5 linked regions of the Callithrix jacchus genome follow. The protein of the gene in region 1 binds, or shares a complex with, the protein of each later gene. Links are inferred from orthologs where the notes say so. Each region holds a gene or a part of one and is shown on either strand. Other genes may lie near its edges.

What was found.
Region 2: the proteins of CALCR (region 1) and RAMP2 are in contact, whole or in part, in a cryo-EM structure (PDB 7TYX), measured with the Homo sapiens proteins. The link is inferred for Callithrix jacchus from reciprocal best matches to the Homo sapiens genes CALCR and RAMP2. Residues at the interface, in NP_001158210.1 of Homo sapiens: Arg45, Lys46, Met48, Met49, Asp50, Gln52, Tyr53, Lys54, Tyr56, Asp57, Met59, Gln60, Trp76, Gly78, Arg126, Phe235, Leu238, Ile242, Thr246, Val250, Glu255, Lys256, Gln257, Arg258, Trp261, Tyr262, Leu264, Leu265, Phe269, Pro273; in NP_005845.2 of Homo sapiens: Trp86, Tyr93, Ser94, Arg97, Asp98, Glu101, Leu109, Pro112, Glu117, Ile120, Phe121, His124, Phe128, Cys131, Pro136, Phe138, Ser139, Asp140, Pro141, Leu146, Met149, Ile150, Pro153, Ile154, Leu156, Ile157, Leu160, Ile161, Leu163, Val164.
Region 3: the proteins of CALCR (region 1) and RAMP3 are in contact, whole or in part, in a cryo-EM structure (PDB 8F0K), measured with the Homo sapiens proteins. The link is inferred for Callithrix jacchus from reciprocal best matches to the Homo sapiens genes CALCR and RAMP3. Residues at the interface, in NP_001158210.1 of Homo sapiens: Arg45, Lys46, Met49, Asp50, Gln52, Tyr53, Lys54, Tyr56, Asp57, Met59, Gln60, Arg74, Thr75, Trp76, Asp77, Gly78, Asn124, Arg126, Phe235, Leu238, Ile242, Thr246, Gln257, Arg258, Trp261, Tyr262, Leu264, Leu265, Phe269, Ile276; in NP_005847.1 of Homo sapiens: Cys57, Leu59, Ile63, Tyr66, Glu67, Thr70, Tyr83, Trp84, Pro85, Gln90, Ile93, Thr94, His97, Arg98, Phe101, Ser102, Cys104, Val106, His110, Leu111, Glu112, Asp113, Pro114, Val118, Leu119, Leu122, Ile123, Pro126, Val127, Leu129.
Region 4: the proteins of CALCR (region 1) and guanine nucleotide-binding protein G(s) subunit alpha isoforms XLas are in contact, whole or in part, in a cryo-EM structure (PDB 7TYY), measured with the Homo sapiens proteins. The link is inferred for Callithrix jacchus from reciprocal best matches to the Homo sapiens genes CALCR and GNAS. Residues at the interface, in NP_001158210.1 of Homo sapiens: Arg180, His184, Glu240, Tyr243, Leu244, Leu247, Ile248, Val249, Val250, Ala251, Val252, Phe253, Glu255, Lys256, Ile319, Val322, Leu323, Lys326, Met327, Glu329, Thr330, Lys340, Lys343, Ala344, Ile347, Leu348, Leu351, Tyr391, Asn395, Asn396; in NP_000507.1 of Homo sapiens: Lys34, Gln35, Arg38, Ala39, His41, Val217, Phe219, Tyr358, Phe376, Cys379, Arg380, Asp381, Ile383, Gln384, Arg385, His387, Leu388, Gln390, Tyr391, Glu392, Leu393, Leu394.
Region 5: the proteins of CALCR (region 1) and RAMP1 are in contact, whole or in part, in a cryo-EM structure (PDB 9AUC), measured with the Homo sapiens proteins. The link is inferred for Callithrix jacchus from reciprocal best matches to the Homo sapiens genes CALCR and RAMP1. Residues at the interface, in NP_001158210.1 of Homo sapiens: Arg45, Lys46, Met49, Asp50, Gln52, Tyr53, Tyr56, Asp57, Met59, Gln60, Gln61, Thr75, Trp76, Asp77, Gly78, Asn124, Arg126, Phe235, Leu238, Ile242, Thr246, Val250, Ala251, Gln257, Arg258, Trp261, Tyr262, Leu265, Phe269, Ile276; in NP_005846.1 of Homo sapiens: Trp59, Ile63, Tyr66, Arg67, Ala70, Asp71, Phe83, Trp84, Pro85, Val89, Asp90, Phe93, Leu94, His97, Gly98, Phe101, Ser103, Arg109, Ala110, Val111, Arg112, Asp113, Pro114, Ile118, Leu119, Phe122, Ile123, Pro126, Ile127, Val129.

Annotation. Positions count from the first base shown.
Region 1 is NC_133512.1:56,118,416-56,121,923, reverse strand, and holds part of CALCR (calcitonin receptor), read right to left. Parts: intron 2,692-3,508; coding exon 2,538-2,691; intron 886-2,537; coding exon 775-885; intron 1-774. UniProt on the Homo sapiens protein: G protein-coupled receptor activated by ligand peptides amylin (IAPP), calcitonin (CT/CALCA) and calcitonin gene-related peptide type 1 (CGRP1/CALCA).
Region 2 is NC_133506.1:121,132,022-121,135,828, reverse strand, and holds RAMP2 (receptor activity-modifying protein 2), read left to right. Parts: upstream 1-1,477; 5' UTR 1,478-1,513; coding exon 1,514-1,610; intron 1,611-2,075; coding exon 2,076-2,141; intron 2,142-2,617; coding exon 2,618-2,726; intron 2,727-2,859; coding exon 2,860-3,115; 3' UTR 3,116-3,300; downstream 3,301-3,807. UniProt on the Homo sapiens protein: Accessory protein that interacts with and modulates the function of G-protein coupled receptors including calcitonin gene-related peptide type 1 receptor (CALCRL) and calcitonin receptor (CALCR). Required for the transport of CALCRL to the plasma membrane.
Region 3 is NC_133512.1:13,219,858-13,223,822, reverse strand, and holds the start of RAMP3 (receptor activity-modifying protein 3), read right to left. Parts: upstream 2,805-3,965; 5' UTR 2,782-2,804; coding exon 2,724-2,781; intron 1-2,723. UniProt on the Homo sapiens protein: Accessory protein that interacts with and modulates the function of G-protein coupled receptors including calcitonin gene-related peptide type 1 receptor (CALCRL), calcitonin receptor (CALCR) and G-protein coupled estrogen receptor 1 (GPER1).
Region 4 is NC_133506.1:54,421,111-54,425,252, reverse strand, and holds the start of guanine nucleotide-binding protein G(s) subunit alpha isoforms XLas, read right to left. Parts: upstream 2,804-4,142; 5' UTR 2,273-2,803; coding exon 178-2,272; intron 1-177. UniProt on the Homo sapiens protein: Guanine nucleotide-binding proteins (G proteins) function as transducers in numerous signaling pathways controlled by G protein-coupled receptors (GPCRs).
Region 5 is NC_133507.1:159,154,835-159,159,046, reverse strand, and holds the start of RAMP1 (receptor activity-modifying protein 1), read right to left. Parts: upstream 2,803-4,212; 5' UTR 2,755-2,802; coding exon 2,703-2,754; intron 1-2,702. UniProt on the Homo sapiens protein: Accessory protein that interacts with and modulates the function of G-protein coupled receptors including calcitonin gene-related peptide type 1 receptor (CALCRL) and calcitonin receptor (CALCR). Required for the transport of CALCRL to the plasma membrane.

The sequences.
Region 1 (3,508 bases):
GGACTGAAGGATTATCATCAAATAGCATTTAGTTAGAGATTCCAGGAATATAGCTGGTTTAGGACCTGGCACAAGGCTCTTTCTTTCTTCACTTCCCAACTTTTCCATCACAATGGGAGTTCCCAGAAATGGCTGGCCTGCACTGGTTTTAAAAGTGGTCCTCTGCAATACCACTTTCATTATCTTGCCTTACTGAAGTAAAATTTTGTTTTCAGGGACAAATTTGATCTTTTACTCTTGATGGAAGCACAGAAAGCATCTTTCAAACATTCTTTCAGGGGTAGACTCATTTGTCTTCTTTAATTGGGATTCTAGAGCCACTTAAACAACCCTTGTAGGCTCAGGCTCACTTTACTCTCGTGAACAAATTTCACCCATTAACAGGGACTTCTATGTTGTGCCCGTAGCTAATCCATTTAGTTTCAGCATCCGGGTCTCCTTTGTAATTAAGATTTCTACCCCCTTTTCAGTGAGACAATTGAAGATTTAAAAAAACTCATATTTAAATAAAAATATTCATAGTTTTAGAAAAGCTATGTTTATAAACCAGAATTTAATACCAATATGTACAACTGACCAGCATATCACTTAAAAAAAAGGACAGCTTGTAATATGTGTACAACTAAGTAGTATTTCAATTAAGGAAATGCCTCAGAACCTGCAAAATGTGGAATATAAATAGGTAGGTACATTTTGTATCTGATTTTATTTTCAAAACCATGAAAACTCTAAAAGCTTTATAGCAAGAACATAAAATGAAAATAAACAGTCTACCTGATGGATCAAAATCTGGAAAATAATCTGGGCAGAGCTGATAGGACAGTACTCCAGCCGGTGTGTCATCCCAGCACAGCCATCCATCCCAGGTGCGATTGCAATATGGACCTGGCCATTTAGAAGAAAATTATTATTGAAGCCATGTGGATGTAACTAAAAGAGATTGATCCCAAGACAATATTACATGTAGTTGAACTCACTACACCAGTCATAGCCACCTACATTTCAAACAAGCCAAAGTCATTTATTTTGGAAATAAAGTTTCTAAACTTTATTTATTCTTTATTCATAGCATATCTGTGACCAAATTATCTCACTGACAAACAGGGTTCTATTCCTATTTTGTAAAAGGTTCCAAAGTTGAGCTATCAAAAAAGCAAATAACCCCAAAGATTGCAAGACCATGTCTCTCAAAAGCAAAAACAAAAACTACCCCAAACCATGAAGATTTACATCGACAAAGATATTCAAAACAATCGGATTCAGGCTTTCAATAAAGTTTGAAAAAAATTATTTTAAAAATGAAGAAAATGCTCAGAAAACAGAAAATATCAGTTCTGTGTTTTTATTGTCTCATTGGCTTCAAAGAAATGGTTTCTCCTCTGGTTAAAGTTATATCTAATCCCTGTTCAGTTCTTGATAAATACTGAGACTACTGTAGACAGAAGAATAACATGTATCTGCCTTTTGGTTGACTTGATGTTTTTGTTTAAAGAAAAATGCTAAAAATAAGAACTACAAACTAAAACTTGAACTATTTGAAAGCAAAGAATGTGTAGTAACAGTATATTAACCATTTTTTTCCCTACTAAGTTGGGTTGTCTTAAAATGTACATGGTTGTAGGCCAGATACAGTGGCTCAGGCCTGTAATCCTAGCACTTTGGGAGGCTCACTTGAGCCAAGGAGTTGGAGACCAGCATGGACAACATGGCAAAACCCCATCTCTACAAAAAATTACAAAAATTTTCCAGGCAAGGTATCATGCACCTGTAGTCCCAACTGCCCAGTAGGCTAAAGTTGGAGGAACATCCTGGATGAAAGAGTGAGACTCTGTCTTGAAAAAAACGAAAATATTTGATTGTAAAAGATCTTACTGACTCTTTCCAAATGCCTCAGTGCACAAGCAGGGGAATTTAAAGGGATGTTACAATGAGTTTGCCCATCACGTCTCCCCTTTTCTTTTTCTATGGGTCCTCTACAGCTAATAGGATATGTTTAGACCAGAAAATATATGGGCAGTCACAAAGAGCCATTCTAGAAAACGTGGTAGACAAACAATGTCTGGCTAGGAGGTATCTTTTTCTAATTCTCCTGGAAACTGGGGCCAGAAAGGGTGGAAGAATAGTATGGGTTGCCAACCAATTGACAGTTAAAGGGAAGGTACTCCCTAATTAATCCAAGCAAGACAGGGTTTGATAGGTTCCACCTCAGGCAAGTTCTCTGCCCACTATTTTCCAATTCCCTTTCCTATCAGTTTCCGTGTCCCTCCCTCCGTCAGTCCTGTATTGTTCCTGCTCACCAGGAGTGAATACTGAGTTATTGCAGTAATTTTATCATGAGGGCAGATGTTAGCCAAACTGTAGTCAGATAAACTTGAACAAAGAAATCAGGCATATCCATTGCATGAAATACACAAACATACCACAGTGTGAAAACTGCTGGCATATTAAATTAAAATTATTCAACACATATTTAACCATGAAAGAAAACATCTTTAATGGCATTTCAAGCATATGTTCATATATATCTTTCTTTTTACCTTCTCCTTGGTATGGGGGTAACTGCCTCATTCGTTCATAGCATTTGTACTGTGCATCCATCATCTTCTTTCGTCCTACGACGTAAAGAAATGGCTCCGGCTCTGTTGTTGAAAAGGTTTGATTTGAATTGGTAGGAAAAATTGTGGTTGGGTTCTGTATTAAAAAGAAAAATCAGTTACTTATAGACAGGAGGAATGGGTGAGCACAAATAAATGAGACAACGAAAAAGTTTTCGAAAACATTTATTTTTCCTTCTCTAAGCAATACTTATTCATGGTCTCCATGTAGACTTTTTTTTTCATGTATATAACTAAAAATGTATTTACATTTCATTTACAGATTCTACCTGCAAGTCTTATGTTCGCATGTTTCCATTTGCTATTGAAAATGCATAACACATACACACTCACACACCTCTTTATCAGCTAGAATTGTTTTAATTTTACCATGATTCTAAAGTTTAGAAGTAAACAAAACAAATAATCTGATTTCCAAAAAATACAAATATTAAATCAACTTTAACTTACCCTTAAGAATCATGAATCGTGTTATTAAAAAATAGACATAGCTCAATAAATGTGCTTCTTTTAGTGAAATTTTATTGGTGCTGTGTACACTGCCAGAAATTTACACCATTTATTCCATGGAATAAACAAAATATGTTTTCTGTTCCTCATAATTGACCATAATCTCCTTAAATTGGTTTCAATAGCAGATGACCTGTACAGGGCAATTTATTTTCCCTAATGAAAATCAGTGTATTTATTAGATATTTTTATCAGTACATTTGCATTTTGGGTACAGATTGACAATAGTTTTTTTCAGTTTCAGTTAATCATTACCGTCACAAGTCTCTGTTTTTCAAAGGTAATATGTCTGTGGGTGTTTGAAAAGATCACTCTGTCATACTGTCCTTTCTAACTTGTGTTTAAACAGATTTCAATTTCTTCTGTGGCTATGGCCAGTGTTT
Region 2 (3,807 bases), on another chromosome or scaffold:
CAGGAGGACTTTGGAGTTCATGTCAAGCAGGCCATTGACCCTCTCCCACTGGATTCCTTACAAAAGCAGCCTCTTGACCACAGAGGAGGACAGCATGTTATCCATGCTCTTGATCCAAGAGTCTGAGACCCTGAGATGAAGACGTCAAGAAAGACCATGATGGATAATTTGTGATGGACAGGAATCAGAAACTGGGACAACAGCAGCAGCTGAGTCCAGGGGTCAGTGTCTGGGAGTAATTTAGGAAAGTTTGGTGCTGACAGCTGTGTCTGGGACTTGAACGTCATGGCCAAACCAGCTCCTGGGCTCCTCAGCTGCTTCAGGCTAATGAACCTCTGGCCCAGGACACAAGCCGCAGCTGTGGTGTGGCTGAAGTCAGGGCCCCTGGAGGCCCAGGCTCGGCCTTGCTGCTTCCTTAGTAGTGTCAGTTAGACAAGTGGCTTAGGAAAAGAGGAAAGGAAACTAACATTCAGTGAGCGCACTGCCCTTTCTCAGCTGCCATCCTCACTGGTGAGGAGCGGAATGTTCCTATTTTATGTAAGCCCTGAAGGTAAACGCGTCATGCAAGCTCTATGACTGGGAAGGAGGAAGACAGAATTAGAACCCAGAGCTTCTGAATTCAAATCCCGGGCTGCTGGCCCCGAACTTTAGCGTTTCTGTAAAATGGTGACAGTAATACACTCACCCCGCACATGAAGTCCCACATTGAAGGTTCTAAACCCTTTCCTCCTTTCTCCCAACCTTGGTCCTGAAGAGCTGCGGCACCTCCTTCCCAGGAATGTAGTCATCGTATTTTGCCTCCCAACAGGTTTGTGGGGTCTGGGCCCCAGGAGGTGTCTTGAAGGGAGGGTATCAGGACTTCTGTTTTCCCTCTACCCCACTCCCCAGATCTTCTCCCGACTCTGGAGGGCCGACTCCCGCTTCTCCCTGGTTGTGACTGGCGGGCTGACAACAGCGGGTGTTCCCAGGGATAGATAAGGAACCCTAAGCTGGCCGGCCCAGCTCCAGGAGCCCCTTCCCCCACAGCCCAGGGCAGCCCCTTAGGTGCAGCGGCGTCGAGAGGCCGCTGGAGCTCCCAGCCCCTCCCTCTTCTCCGGGTCTGAGAGAGCAGCTCGCCGACCCCTCCAGCCCGGAAAGAGAGGGGGCGACTCGAGTCCGGGAGCGGCTCCTTGGAGACCCCGGAGAGTCCTGCGCGCCGCGCGGCCGAGCCCCAGAAATAGATCCCGGTTCCGGGGTTCCGGGAGCTGTCCAGCCCCGCGGGGTGAACTGCGAGAGAGTGTGGGCCAACGCCGGCAAGGCGGAGGGAGCCGCGGGCGCCCGGCGCGGGTGCGGCGGCTACTCCCCCTCCAGCAGCGGGCCCCGGGCGTCGCCCCCGCCCCCCACGTGGCCGCCGCCGTCCCAGCCCCTCCGAGGAAGCGGCGCGGCTTCCTGCGGCTCGGGCCGGGGATATAGGCGCCCCCACACCCGGGCCAGGCTCAGCGCCGCCGCAGCTCCCTCGCCTCCTTGCTGCACGATGGCCTCGCTCCGAGCGGAGCGCGCCGGCGACCCCCGGCTCCCGACGACCCGCGCTGGGCGGCCGGCAGCGCTCCGCCTCCTCCTCCTACTGGGCGGTGAGCGCGGCGCCGCGAGGCCCGGGCGGGAAGCGTAGGAGGCCCCGGAGGGGAGATGGGAGAGGGGCTGGATGGGCGAGGCGGGAATGGGCCCCGGGGTTTGGGCGCGGACCGACGGACAGAGCAGCACTGGCCTTCGGACGGTCCCTGACCTCACCTCGGGGCGGGCATAGCTCAAGCTGCTTCCCACCGGGGAAAGCTGGAGTGCGGGCCCCGGCTCCGCGGAGAGGGCAAGGGAGGCTGGGAGCTGGCCAGAGGGGAGGGGGCTTTGGGCCTGGGTGTGAGTGACAAGGAGCTGGTGCCAGGCCCTCCCTCCCCAGCTGGGATGTCCATGGGGTCTAGATTATTCCTCTTTTTCTTCCATGGTAGCCCTGCTTTCAGAGGGTCTCAGTCCCCCGCCCCCCCCGCAGACCCCACTTCTGGGGTCCCCGCTATGCCACCCTCCTCTCCTGCTTCTCCCCACAGCTGTCCTGAAGCCCCAGGAGACCCTGGCTCAGCCTCTTCCCACCACAGGCACACCGGGGTCAGAAGGTGGGTACCCAGGATGTGGAAGGGTAGCCGAGGGCAAGGACGAGAGCAAATTCAGTGGGGAGAGTCCCTTTCCCACGAGGCCCGCACAAGGCCCGCACAAGGCCCGCACAACCCCAACTGATGGCCCACTAAACTCCCCTCTGTTCTTTCTTGGGGTTCCTTGTGGTCTTTCTCCCTGTCTTCCCACAAAGTCCCTGCACAGCTCTGAACTGGCCCACCTCACAGGTGGGTGAGAAGACCCCAGGAAAAGGTGTACGTGGAACTTCTTATCAGGCTGGGATGGAAAGTGCTTAGCACAGGGAAGTCGTTACAGGATTCCTGAGCTGGGACTCTCCTCAGCCAGAACTTCTTGCTAGGGAAACTTTCTGAAGGGTTCGCACCCCCCCCCCCCCCCCCGTTTGAAGGCAGGCACCTGGGCAGGAGGGTTTGGAAGGAGGGGCAGGGCTGTGGTCATTGTGCAGCATCTGTACCTACAGTGAAGATGATGGAGAACTATGAGGCAGCTGTCCAACTTTGCTGGAATTATTACAAGTATCAAATGGATCCTATCGAAAAGGATTGGTGCGACTGGGCTGTGATTAGCAGGTAGGGGCGGTGCTGGAGGGTGGCTCAGGCCCGGGGTTGGGCCTGCTTATTGCAGGTAGACCTTGAGTGAGTGTGGGGCACTTCTCTCCCTGGGTCCACCCCCTCACTCACTCAAGTCCTCTCCTGCCTCTAGGCCTTATAGCACCCTGCGAGATTGCTTGGAGCACTCTGCGGAGGAGTTTAACCTGGGCTTCCCCAATCCCTTGGCAGAGAGGATCATCTTTGAGACTCACCAGATCCACTTTGCCAACTGCTCCCTGGTGCAGCCAACTTTCTCAGACCCCCCAGAGGATGTACTCCTGGCCATGATCATAGCCCCCATCTGCCTCATCCCCTTCCTCATCACTCTTGTAGTATGGAGGAGTAAAGACAGTGAGGCCCAGGTTTAGGGGGCCACAAGCTTCTCAACAACCATCTGACTCTGCTTCCCTACCCCCACAGGGCCTCCCTCCTCCCCTTCTCCCTTCTGTCACTCTCGCTCCCACCACAGATCCCTGGATTGCTGGAAGTGGAGGCCGGGTGGGGTCATGGCACAAGTTCTGTAATCTTCAAAATAAAACCTTTTTTTGTACAATGTCCTTCTCCTCATTTCAGTGGGACCTGTGTCGTTCCCTGCCACTCCCACAGGCTCTCAGCTCTGGGTAGCAGAAGCGGAAAAATCTGGATGGCCCAGATTCAGAAAAATTTGAATTCTGTTAATTTCACCTGCCCCCCTGCTCTCAACCTCCATGAAGGTCACACCCCTATATTCTTTCCTTCCAGGGGGGCCTTTCCTGCCCTTATCCAAACTCAGTTCCAGGAAACAAGCAGGAAGAGACTCCCTTCCGGTCTGGACAGCAGCTGGGGGCCTGCGACTGGGGAGGTGTGGGGGAAGGGGCAAGGGAGGAATCTCTGCTTGTGACTCTGCAAGAGGGACAGGAGGCTGCCCAAGGGGCCCTGACTGTTCCCTTCTTCATGCCTCAGTTTACTCCCAGGGCCTGGGAAGAGGAACCCTGGCTGAGCAACAGGAATCCATTCCTAAGGACCTCACAATTAAGGGCAAAAGCAGTAGGGGCTTCCTCTACTAGGTTCACCACTCCCC
Region 3 (3,965 bases), about 43 Mb from region 1:
GTGGGCCATGGTCAGTTGACCTTGGGAGGCTGTGGATTCTGGGCGGTTCTGCGGTCTCTGTGGCTGGGCAACTCCTTCTGTACCCTCCAGACTTCTGTTTCCTTACCCACAGCATGAAGAGTAAGGTCACATAACCTCCAAGACACCTCCAGCACGAAAACTCTATGGGCCTCTTCTTGGTCAATCACCACCTTCAAGTCTTTTTTTTTTGAGACAGAGTCTTGCTCTTGTTGCCCAGGCTGGAGTGCAATGGCATAATCTCTGCTCATTGCAACCTCTGCCTCCCAGGTTCAAGCAATTCTCCTGCCTCGGCCTCCCAAGTAGCTGGGATTACAGATGGCCACCACCACGCCCAGCTAATTTTTATACTTTTAGTAGAGACAGAGTTTCACCATGTTGGCTAGGCTGGTCTCGAACTCCTGACCTCGTGAGCCACCCGCCTTGGCCTCCCAAAGTGCTGGGATTACAGGTATGAGCCACGGCGCCCGGCTGACCTTCAAGTCTTTACTTCACCAGAGTTACTGCTATCCAACCACGGCCCGTGGGCCCACTTGATTCAGCAGAATCGGTGTGACCACAGGTAACAGGGTAGCAGGACATCATTACTTTCACTCATGATAACAAAGGTGGTACCATGTTCACACACTTGCACACACAGGCACACACACACACTACGGTGCTCCATCTTGGGGTGCTGTGAGTAAGCCTCATGAGACCCACTGCGGTTACTGGTGGGTGCCTTCCCATCCCTCCCCTTGTTTAAGCATGAACCCTCCCCCCCGCCCCCACAATCTCATGATGCCCAGCACAAGGCAACAGGGAAGAAACTGAACGGAATCAAACTGACGGTCTCAGCGCCCTCTACAGGTTGCTATTATTATATCTACATTGCAGTTGGGAAACTGAGGCTAAGGGCCAGTGAGTGCCTTAGAATCTTGGGATCACGATCAGGATTTTCACCCAGACCAGAAGAGTCCAGTCAAGGGCTGGGCACCACAGCAAAGCTCCCTGCTGAGTAGCCACCTGCTGGACTTCACACCCCTATGGCCCCACAGCATCAAATGCTTTCTGGGAAAAGGCTTGGAATTCTCAAAGAAGCCCCAGAGGCCAGCACCCTCCCTGCTGGCCTGCCAGAGCCAGTCCTCACTCAAGAGGAACACAACCTGCTCCTTCTTCCAGGTACAGCAGCATCCAGGGCAGATGTGAACTCCAATCCCACCTCTGACATCAGCCAGTGACCATGAGCAAGTTTTAGCTCTCTCTGAATCTCTCTAGCCGGGCGAACACTGGGAGGGTCTCCTGAGAAGCTGGACCTGGTCTCCATTCTGTCCAGGGAGCAGGAACCCATGTCCCATTGGAGGGGGACAGTCAGGGCGAACATGACAAGACAAAGAAGTGGCCCTCAGAACCGGGTCCACAAGAGACAGGATTGTTAAGAGGGGAGGTTCTGTGCAAGCGGAAGTCTGTGGTCCTGCTCAATTCCATACTGGAGGCAATCAGGAGAGCCTCAGCTTCTCCCAGAAAGAATTCAGAGGCCCTTCCTTCCACTGTAGGGACAAAGATCTCCCCCTGAGGGGCTCTCACTGGAAGCTTGCTGAAATCCCAAATCAGCATGCACCTTTGCACTTCAACACAAATTCCACCACAGCCTAGGCTCCAGCCCTGGGGCACAAAATGAAGCCACGCACTAAGGTTCCGCACACCAAGACCTCCTCAATGGAAGGAAAACGACTGCTGAGTTTGGTCCACCCTTTCCCATCTCCCTTACCAAAGGCAAAATCATCAAAACAGGCCCAATTGTGCATCTTACAGCCAGGAAGACTGGGGACCACCAGGCCAGAGCCCTCCATCTCCAACGTCCCCCCAGAATTGGCCAGGCTCAATCACCGCTTAGCGGACCCCAGCCCAGCCCTCAGCAAGCGCTCTTCCCCAACAGCCCTTACACACACACACTCTCTCTCTCTCTCTCTCTCTCTCTCTCTCTCTCTCTCTCTCTCTCTTTCTCCCCCTATCTCTCTCGCTCGCTCTCTCCCTCTCTCTCTCTCTCTCCCCCTCCCTCCCTCCCTTTCTTTTTCTTGGATAATTTCTTTAGTTAAGATACTTCAAAACAAGCTTTTAGTTTAATCTATTCCCATTTTGTGAGCAACAGTTCTCCCCAGAGTCCTGATTTCTTGCGGAGGAAGGCTGAGAGCGTCTCCCAGCTTTCCCTCTCAGCCAGCTCCAGGACACACACAGGTGTCCACACACTGAAGGGCTCCGCTGGGGTGACCAGCTACCCAGTCCGGAGTCCACCCGCCCGCGCCCCTGTGAGTGGTGGGCACGCACTCAATGCCAGGACAGGGAGCTCACTACCTCACACGCAGTCCATCTTGTGGGATGGGGGAAAGGATCCAGACCTGGTCCGCCCCCGCTCACCCACCCTGAGGCCACCCCAGAACAGGGGTGTGAGGGACATCACAACTAGGAGGAGCGGGGGCTGCCTGACCCCGCCGGCAAAAGAGTCCCTGTGCCTCCCTTGCCCGCCGGAGTCCTTCGCCCCCAGCTCCTCCCGAGTAGAACCCTCCTGCAGAGTCTGGGGACCCCTCCAGGGTCACTGCGCGCGCCTCCCCAGCTCCGGAGCAAGGGAAGGAGCGCGGCGCAGGTGCGGGAAGGTGCCGGTCCACGCGAGTCCTGTCGACCCCGGGGGTTGGGGGCGCACCCGGTGCGGGCCGACGCCCCCTTACCGCAGAGCAGCAGCAGCAGCGGGAGAAGTTGCGGGCGCCACCGCGCTCGCGTCTCCATGGCTGGCCGGCCGCGGCTGGGTCAGGCTCGGTCCAGCTAGGGGAGCGGCTTGGGGGGAGGCCGGGATGGGGCGGGATGGGGCGGGGCCTCAGGGGGTCCGCCCCCCAGGCCGCGCCCCGCCAGGCCGCGCGCCTCTGGCGGTGCCCGGACGCCTTCAGAAGTGGGATGCAGCGGGGTGGGACGGAGCAGGGCTGGAGTCTGGGCTGGAATCTAGGCGGGGGCTGGGTTACGAGCTGGGGATAAGCTGGGGTAAGGTAGGGGACGGGCTGATGGGCTCTGAGAGTGGGTCAGGGTTGCTGAGCTGCAAAGGAGCGTTTTGGGGGCAGACTGTAGGGGCAGGCTGGGAGGTGAGCTGGGGTGAGGGTGGGGCCCGACTGATGGCGGGCTGGGGTGCAGGCTGGAGGGACTTGGGGAACTTCCGTCCAGGCTGTGGGACAGAGTGTGGGGATAGACCGGGGAGAGAGCTAAGGTGAGGGTGAAGCACGGGCTGATGATGGGCTGGGGGCTACTGGGGGTAGACTGGAGGAAGGTGGACCTGGGGGTGGGTGTGCCCTGGCCGAAAGTAGGCCAGAGTACAAAGCCACACTCCGGGCAGGGAGGGGACCTTTGAGAAGAGACACATCTAGAAGCCAGGTCTCCAAGGGTCAGGAAAAGTGCTGAAGGAGGCTGGGGTGTGTGTGTGTGTGTGTGTGTGTGTGTGTGCGCGCTCATGGAGTATGTGGCTGTGAGTGTGGTGTGCATGTGGGGTGTATGTGTAGGTGCGTGTGTGTGCATGGAGTATGTGATGTATGGTGTGTGTGGCATATGTGAGTTTGTAGATCTGAGATGAGGTGTGTTTGTGACTGTGAGCCTGGGAGACAGTGTGTGTGAGAAGAGACAAGGGTGTGGCAACTGCACACAGAGAGACACATCACACACAAAGGACGAAGCCACAAGCAAACCGAGGGGCAGGAGACTATCTGACACCCCCCAAAGTCCTGGCCTCGAAGAGTGTTGGGGTCCCTGAGGGGAGGGAGGGCCTCAGTTTCTCCAGCCACAGGTCACTTAGCCAGATGGGTCGCCTCTGTCACCCTTAGCCCCTAGCACAGGCCCCGGCTCCCATGGACACTTGACAGTGTCTTCAAAATTGTCTCTGGTCAGAACTTCTGAGACTCAGCTAGAGGCACCTCTCTGCCCCCCAGGCC
Region 4 (4,142 bases), on another chromosome or scaffold:
CCGCTCCCAGGGCAAAGTTAGGGTCCCTCCCTGGAACTTTCTAGCAGGCTCTTCCTGCCTTTGGCTGAACCCCCTCCTCCCACTGCCGAGCCCCGCGCGTCCCACCGGGCAGCCCTGCCACCCCCTCCCCGGTTCCCTGGCGGCCCTGCTGCCGACAGGCAGAGTCCGCCGCATTACCTAGAAGCAGCAGGCGGTGCGTACACATGTAGCCCATCTTTTCGTCCTGGAGTTGCTTGTCGATGAGCTTGCTGCGTTTCTTCTCTGCACGCTTCTGGGCCCGCTTCTCCAGGGCTTCTTTGCGCATCTGTCTGCGTTTCTCCGCCAGGGGTACCTTCTTGACCTTGGGGGAGCGTGAAGCTTTGGGCTGGGGACTCTCAGATCGACCGAAGCAGCCCCCGAAGGCTTGCATGAGGAAGTTGCGGAGTAAGTTGCGCCGGGGCTTTCGGCGGCGGCGGTTTCGCCGATGCTGAAACCAGCGGATGCATCCGAAGGTCCCATCGTCGGACTCGTCTCCGCTGGAGTCATCGTCGCTGCTGGCCGCCCCTTCATCGTAGTACCCGTGGCGGCCGCGGCTGCGCTCGGACTTGCCCCGCCAGGCAGACGCGCGAGTAGGCCGTGGAGTAGGCGGATCGGCAGCCTGGATTTCGGGGCTGGGGGGTCTAAGGAGATGGAGCTTGCGTCTGGCCCCGGAGGCAGGGGCTGCAGAGGCTGCCCGGGCTGCTGGGGCTGCCCGGGCGGCAGGAGCGGCTGGGGCAGCTGGGGCCCCAGCGTCAGGCGCAGCTGGGGCGACAGGGGCTGCCCCGGTCTCAGCAGCCGCAGGGGCGCCGGGAGCGTCAGGGGCTGCCCGGGAGTCAGGATCGGCTGGGGCGTCAGGGGCTGCCCCGGCATCTGGATCGGCTGGGGCGTCAGGGGCTGCCCCAGAGTCGGGATCGGCTGGGGCTGCCCCAGAGTCGGGATCGGCTGGGGCTGTCCCGGAGTCGGGATCGGCTGGGGCTTCCCGGGAGTCGGGACTGCCTGGGGCTGTCCCGGAGTCGGGATCGGCTGGGGCTGCCCGGGAGTCGGGATCGGCTGGGGCTGCAGGGGCCGCCCTGGCTGCGGGATCCGCTGAGGCTGCCCCGGCGGCAGGGGATCTGTCCCCCGGAGAGGGGACTTTTCCTCCCTCCGTGGCATCGGTGGCTGTGCCTCCTTCCATCTCGGCTGCTTCCTCCTCAACTGGGGGTCTCTCTGCTCGCTCTCTCTTATCTGGGGCTCCGGAGACCTTGATGGGCGGGCCGTCAAGCGCGATTGGGGGGCTGTCCATGTTGACGGGAGCGTCGTCGACCCCAGCGGGGGCGCTGCCAATCTCAAGTGGGGGTCCGGAGATCTCCATCGGGGGGCTGCTGCTGGTGAAGTTAGGAGGTCTGACAGCCTCTCGGGATGGGCTGCCGATGGTTCCTGGGACCCAGAGGGGAGGCGCATTCGCGGCGGGAGTGAGGCGGACCGCACTCGAGACCGCGACTGCCGCAAACTGGCCACCGCCGTCGTCGACTTGTGCGATGACTCGGGAAAGCCCCGGGGGTGGGCTGTCTTCCCCAAAGCCTTCTCCATCAAGCTCAAATGGCATAGTCTCCTCAGGGGGAGGGCTATAGCCTCCTCCGGAGCCAGCCTTTGGAGGCTTGAGGGCTTGGGGCTCCTCGGGAGGAGCTCTGGGGACCCCTGCAGCACCTGGGCCTCCTGGAGCAAGGTCTGGGACCTGTAAGAGAGGTTGACTGCAGCCTCTCTGGGCAGGCTGGTCAAATTCAAAGGGCATAGCTTCTTCTGGTGGAGGGCTGTATCCTCCCACACCTGGTCTGCCACCACCGAAGGCTCCAGGCTCCATGAGTGCTGAGCCGAAGGCCTCAAGGCCTGTCTGGGCCCCACTGGGGGATCCAGGCTGCTCCAGTGTGGGCCAGAAGCCTCCCAAGCTGGGCTGTTCGACCTCGAAGGGCATGGCTTCCTCGGGAGGTGGGCTGTAGCTTCCATGGGCTCCAGCTTCCTTGAAGGGCGGACTGAGAACCTGAAAGTTGGGCCTGGAGACCACTGGGGTTCCACAGGCCTCGCCGTCATTCTCGAGGGGGATGGGCTCGCTGTAAGGCGGTTCGGTCTCCATCTCTTCGGCTGGGCTAGGCCCAGCACCGGGGGCAGCTGCCCCTGGGGCCTCCAAAGGTGGTTGCTCGGGCTGTTCCCCGATTTCAGGGGAGATATCGTGTTGTCCTGACATATTATTGCCGTCGAGGCAGTTGCGCACGCCCATAACACGGTGGCGGCTTCTTAAAATAAGTTTGGGGCTCCGTAGGACGGAGCACCCAACCGAACTAGGGTGAAAAAAAAATTTTAGAAAAAAATCAAAGTACCAGCTGGAAAGTTCTCCAGCCTCACTTTCCAACCCTTGTGAGGTTGGGGGGTTCAGGGCCTGGAACCCTAGACCGAGGCTGAAGCAACCCAATTGTTACTGGTGGAGTCTTGGTTCCTTCCAGGCCACTTTTTATCCCCTTAGGCTGCACCTCCAGCCCCTCTTCCTTGGTCTGTCCTTATACCCTCCTCTCTTTTTCTTTCTGCTCCAGGCCAGTCCCGCCTGCTTGGATCTGACGAGCGTGCCGATTCGGTCCGAAAATCGCCAGTAGCGCTCTCTCTCTGCCACCAGAGGACGCCGGTTCCAGTGCCAAGCTGGCTCCGGCTCCAGGAGCCTGCTCCCGGCACCAGCAGCCCAGGACTTTGGGTAAGGGGGCTGATGAGCGCAGGCCTCGCAGGGATGTTTTGGCTCCTTCCACTCCTCTCTCCGACTGATTTGGAGTCTTTCTCCTCGCTTCTCCCCTGTCCAGAGAAAGATCTCCTGCGTTGCAGGACACGTGACGCAAGACGTGGGCCTCGGGACGCTGGAGTACAGGAGCTGAAACCCTCCCTCCCCAACCCAACAGACTCCTCGGGGGAGGGGGACTGAAGAAGGGTTTCATCACCCCAGGACACCCCCGAACCCCTGAGTCATAGCCCCCAGCCTCCAGGCAGCCCTGGATCTCAAGTCCCTGGTCCAGAGCGCAAGACTTTTGGTGCCTGGGAAGGGGGCGCAGGTGTGCACAGGGATGCGACAGGTGGTCGTGGGCCCACCAGAGAAGCAGAGAGAGGCGAGGGCGAGGGGATGCCGAGTGTGCGAGCGCATAATGTGTTTTTTAAATGCCTTGGGTGTACTTTTTGCTGCTTTTGCTTGTCGCTCGCTGAGTTTGGCTCCGGTAAAGCACTTTAAGAGACCCCATCCCCATCACACTCTAGGGGTCTCTACAGTAGCCCATAGCGGTGCAGGCAGGGTGCTCCGCCGTTTATGTGGATGGTGACGCAGGGGAATAAGAGGGTCTCAGGTGCGCACCGCCGCGAGCAAAGCCCCCTAGGCAGTAGCTGCGGTGGTACCGATGGAGGGGTGGGACCCGTGCTGCTCAAAGGGAACCCCACAAATTGGTCTCAGAGTTTCACAGGTCCTACTGTTCCAGGGAAGGATTAAAGGGGATTTTGGTTGCGGTTTATGGCCGGTTTGGGGTGGTTTCGGAGAATGGACTGTGCCGTGCGCACTGAACCCACTGATAAACACCGTGCCGCGCGGCAACCACAGCTGAGGTGCGTGGCTCGCAGCTTCAGGCGCCCGCCGCAGAGCCGGTCAGTCCGCTTCTCTAGCCCCACTACAGCCTGTCTCCAGCACCCTTCCAGCCCCTCTCCTCTCGCTCTGGGTATCTTAGTGTAGCCCTTTACTTTTCCACTGCAAGAGCCGGCTGAGGTAGCACTGAGCCCGCCATCCAGCCACAAACCCGGCGGTTGCCCTCGCAGCTGCGCTCCCGCTACCGTGCTGCGGTGGGCTCAGAGCCAGCGGAAGGTAAACACCCACATCACCTGGTGGCCTTGGTGCGTGCACATGCTGTGTTCTGGTCTGGGGTCTGCAGAGAGATTTGAGCCCCTGAGAAAAGCTGTTGCTAGGGGTCACGTAAAACCCGGCAGGCGCGTATCGGGTCTTTCTCAACAGTGATTAGGGGCGTATCGGGTCTGTCTCAACAGTGATTGACAGACTGTTGAGCCACGTTTAGGCACAGAGCAGCTGGGTAGGGTGTCACCTGGTCTGCAGAACCCTGGGGGAGAAGAGG
Region 5 (4,212 bases), on another chromosome or scaffold:
AACATTTCTCAATAGCCCTGGCCTCGGACTGGCAAGGCGTCTGTGAAAGGAAGACACAAATCCAGACATTTCTTCCTGCAGCTGAACACACAGAGAGGGTAAACAAACACACTGATTAGCAAATGAGAATGCTTCAGATTTGGACTCCGGCATGAGAACTGCGTCCGGATTTAAAACCACGTGGCGATCTGAAGCAGTCACACAGCACTTCCTACGGTGTCCCGTCATTTCCAATTCTACTTCTATTTATAGAGTCATATATTTCAATTAATGTCGCAGCCATTAAAAAAAAAAACAAAAACGCACCTTCCACATGACAGCCAAGGCAGGCAAGCGTTTCCCAGGACAGATGACTGAGTTCCTGTGTGACAGCACCAGCCGGCACTCCCTGAGTGCAGCTGGACTCGAAACCAGGGCTGCCATGCATTCTTCCTTCCTGATTAGCAAACAGCTTTTTGGTGTCTCTACACAAACCTTTCAAAATGCATGTGGTTACGTTAGTCTCCAGCAAACAGAACAGTGCATAGGATGCTCGGAGGGAAAAGAACTACATATGGATCCTAAGGTTTGTTTTTTTGTTTTTTTGAGACGGAGTTTTCACTCTTCTCACCCAGGCTGCAGTGCAGCGGCATGACCTCAGCTCACTGCCACCTCTGCCCTCCCAAGTTCAAGCAATTCTGCCTCAGCCTCTTGAGTAGTTGGTATTACAGGTGCCCACCACCCCATGCCTGGCTAATTTTTTTGTATTTTTAGTAGAGTCAGGTTTTGCCATGTAGGCCAGGCTGGTCTTGAACTCCTGACCTCAGGTGATCCACCCACCTCAGCCTCACGAAGTGCTGGGATTACAGGTGTGAGCCATCATGGCTGGGTGAACTGTGAACTGAGATTCTCCCATGGCTGGGAGAATCTCAATAACTACCTAAGACAAATAGCTTGATTGTAAAATTGTCACAGATAAGTTCTTAAACCTGCACACTAGCGTTCTTAAAAAAAAAAAAATTCCACGTTGCCATTCTGGGTAGCAGAATCTTCATCACCAAGGAGATCTGGCTAGTGCTAGAGCCTGTGAAGGAAACAGCCTGTGCTCAGTAATTCCACGAATTACAGCTGGTCTCCAAATGACATTAATTTACCGATAACCTCATAACCTTCCAAGATATAACATTAGCCAGGCCACTCAAAATGATGTTAAAATTACAGGACTTTGGACTTCCAGCAGAACATGAATAGTTTTCTTGGTAAACAAGGAAGGTCTGTATATGTGATCGTGACATAGCGTTTTATTTACACAAGCCTTAGAGGGTGCAGTCTCTGGACACTAGTAAAGAACATTTATTTATTTGGTTATTTATGTGAAAAATATTCCACAGCCCAGCTCTCTGCCTTGCTAACAAAGAAATGTTTGTCTCTTAGGAAACGAAAACAGTGAAGGTCACGTCAAGCCAAATGGATCCGAACACAAGAGGAGGGAAGATTCCGCTGAGATGTGGCTTTCCACTTAACTTCAGCCAAAACACTCGAGTGGCAAGATTCGCTTTCAGATAATATTATGTTGGCCTCGGAGGATTCCATGCCGATCTGCCACTCCTTGGAGAGGTTTACAAACAGGGACCAGAAATCCATGGCTCCCAAGAAGCTCGGGCCCCTCTCCTCGCCGGGCCACGAACTGCTCCCCCAGCTACAGAAACAGCGCTGGCGGTCACTGCTTGCCCAGTGCCAGTGACAGGCCAAGGGGACTTGTGCGGCAGGTGCCTCTGACCAACATCACTGTTTCTGGGAAAAGGCCACATATACTAGAAACAACTGCTCTGGCCTTCCCAGGGGCACTGGGTTTTCTCCCACGCCAGTAATCTATTATTCGGTTTCCGTTGAAAGGTAGCTAAATACACGGAACGCAACAACCAGTGTAGAAGGGGCTTGAGTCAGCATGTTGGGAGCGCACTGCAGATGGGGGCAGTGAGCGGGGCCGTGCCTTGCTGAGTGTGTGGCCAGTTCCTGTGGCCACCGGGTAGTTGATAATCTCCACTCTTCCCGCAGGTGGAAAGCCGAGCGCGTTCCACCACTTCACCAAGGGTCCCGTCCTCTAAATTTCTATTAGCCGGAAGTGCCAAGTTAACAAGCAAACCAAAAGAAAAAAGAAAAAAAAAAAAGCGATGGAAATGCCTCGAGAAGGGAGGGCCTTATTTCTGCAAAAGGCATCATTAGCAAACAAGCGACTGCTCTGTCTGCGAGAGATCAGTGTTGACTCATCTCCAGACGAACGGTCAGTGGCTCCGACTCCCGCACACCGAGTCCTCTGCGAGGCGCCTGCCTGCAGGTTTTGCCACGCGGGACTGCCTAGGGAGGGGAGCCTGCGCTGGCGGTCACCGCGGCGCACAGCCTGGGAAACCGAGGTGCGGGGCTGGGGAACCCCGCGTCCTGTTTCTCTCCCGGAAACAAGTTCTCCGGTGCGCGCAGCTGACGCCCCACGCCTTTCAGAACGCCGGCTCTCCGACTTCCCCAAAGCCGTCCCTTCCGCGGCAAGAGGCGCAACTCCGGTCCGCACCCTCTGATTCCCGGTGCCCTGGGGCCTCCCGCCTGGAACCCGGGCTGCCCAGGTTCAACGGCAGCGGACCGCTGCGCCCTCCCTCTCCTCCCCTCCCCTAGAGGACGCCGGCGGGCCGGGGGAAGAGAGTTCGACCCGGATCCCCGACCCTACTCACCCAGGAGCAGCCAGAGGCAGCGCCGCGGGAGGCGGCACAGGGCCCGGGCCATGGTGCACAGCGGAGCCCAGTCCACCCACCACGCGCCCCGCCGAGGACTGAGCCCGCCGCGGCGCCCGCCCGGAGGAGACGTGCCGGGGGCGGGGGCGGGCGCGGGCGCGGGAGGGGTGGGAGGCGGCGGCCGCGTGGCCCGGCCCACTGTGGCTCCCCAGGTGGGTGCCAGGGCCGGGGGCGCGCGAGGCCGGGAAAACTTTGCAGGGGAGTCGCGCGGGCGTCTCCGGGGGGGACGGCACACTTGGACTTCGAGTGAGGCCTTCTGAAATGTTCTCACTTTTTAAACTAGGGAGGGTCTCCTAGGCGACTCCGAGGGAGCGGCACCTTGGTCTCCACCTGGGCATCTTCCCCTCCTCCTCCTCCGAGGTTCTCCTGCCTGGGGTTTGCTTTGCAAACAGGCTGAGATCTCCCCACCGCGTTTACCTCTCCTCCCAGGTGCAGGCGCTGGGGAGCGTTGGCGTCACCTCCCCCCCGCTTCCCCGCCAGGCGCCTGGGGAAGACCCCTAATAACCCAAGATGGCGCACACTCCCAGGCCCTGGAATGCTGCTCCAGATCTGCAGGATGAGTGGGTGGGAAGAGGCCGGGGGCTGGAGGGAACGGGGCTCTTTGGGGAGATTGAGATGGCCTGGGGGTCTCGCTGTTGATGGGTAGCGAGCGCCTGGCAGGAGGTTTGTGAGGGTCTGGGCAGAGAGTCCTTAGAGACGAGGTTTGCTTTGGGGACCGTCACTCTGGCAGCTGCATGGAGAACTGATGGGGGATCTTGGGTGCATTCCTTTATCTAAAGCGGTGAGAGGAGGGCGCTCTGGAGATGGTCTGGGAAAGCCTGGGGAGGGGTAAGTTCTGGAAGGCACAGGCCTGACCTGGGCTCTAAGGGCATTACTAGTGGCTGGATTTCACCTTGCAGTGGGTTCCTTCTTGCAATAACCTGTTCTGAGAACTCTTAGCAATAGTAAATTTATACTCATGCTAAAGAATGCACCGCCTCTGGAGGGGGACGGATCACCACCCTAGCGTTGTGGCCACAGCTGTCTCTCTTGTGGAAGTTGCAGTCACACGGCACTGCTGAGTGACCAACAGTTCCTCAGCAGTCAGTGGCTGAGCGGCTGCTGCCATCTGCTGTAAGCTCAGAGAAGGGGAGACAGCTGACAGGGAGGCCATCCACCAGCTCTTCTAACACAGGCTAGGAGGGCCCTCGGGGCCAGCATGCCTTCTCCCCCACTGCGCGGGGCCCCAAGAGTTCTGAGAGTGAGGGGTCTGGGTGAGATGGTGGGGGAGGGCACACTCTCTCTTGATTAGCCCCTCTTGAACCCTAGGAGATATACCCCATTAGGTGGCCCGGTCTCCCTACTTTCTTCATTTAACAGACATTTGTGTCCCTACATGCAAGACAGTGTTACATCAACAAGCCCTGCCCTTCAGTTGGTGAATCTAGGGGGTAACCTCTAAAACTCTCAA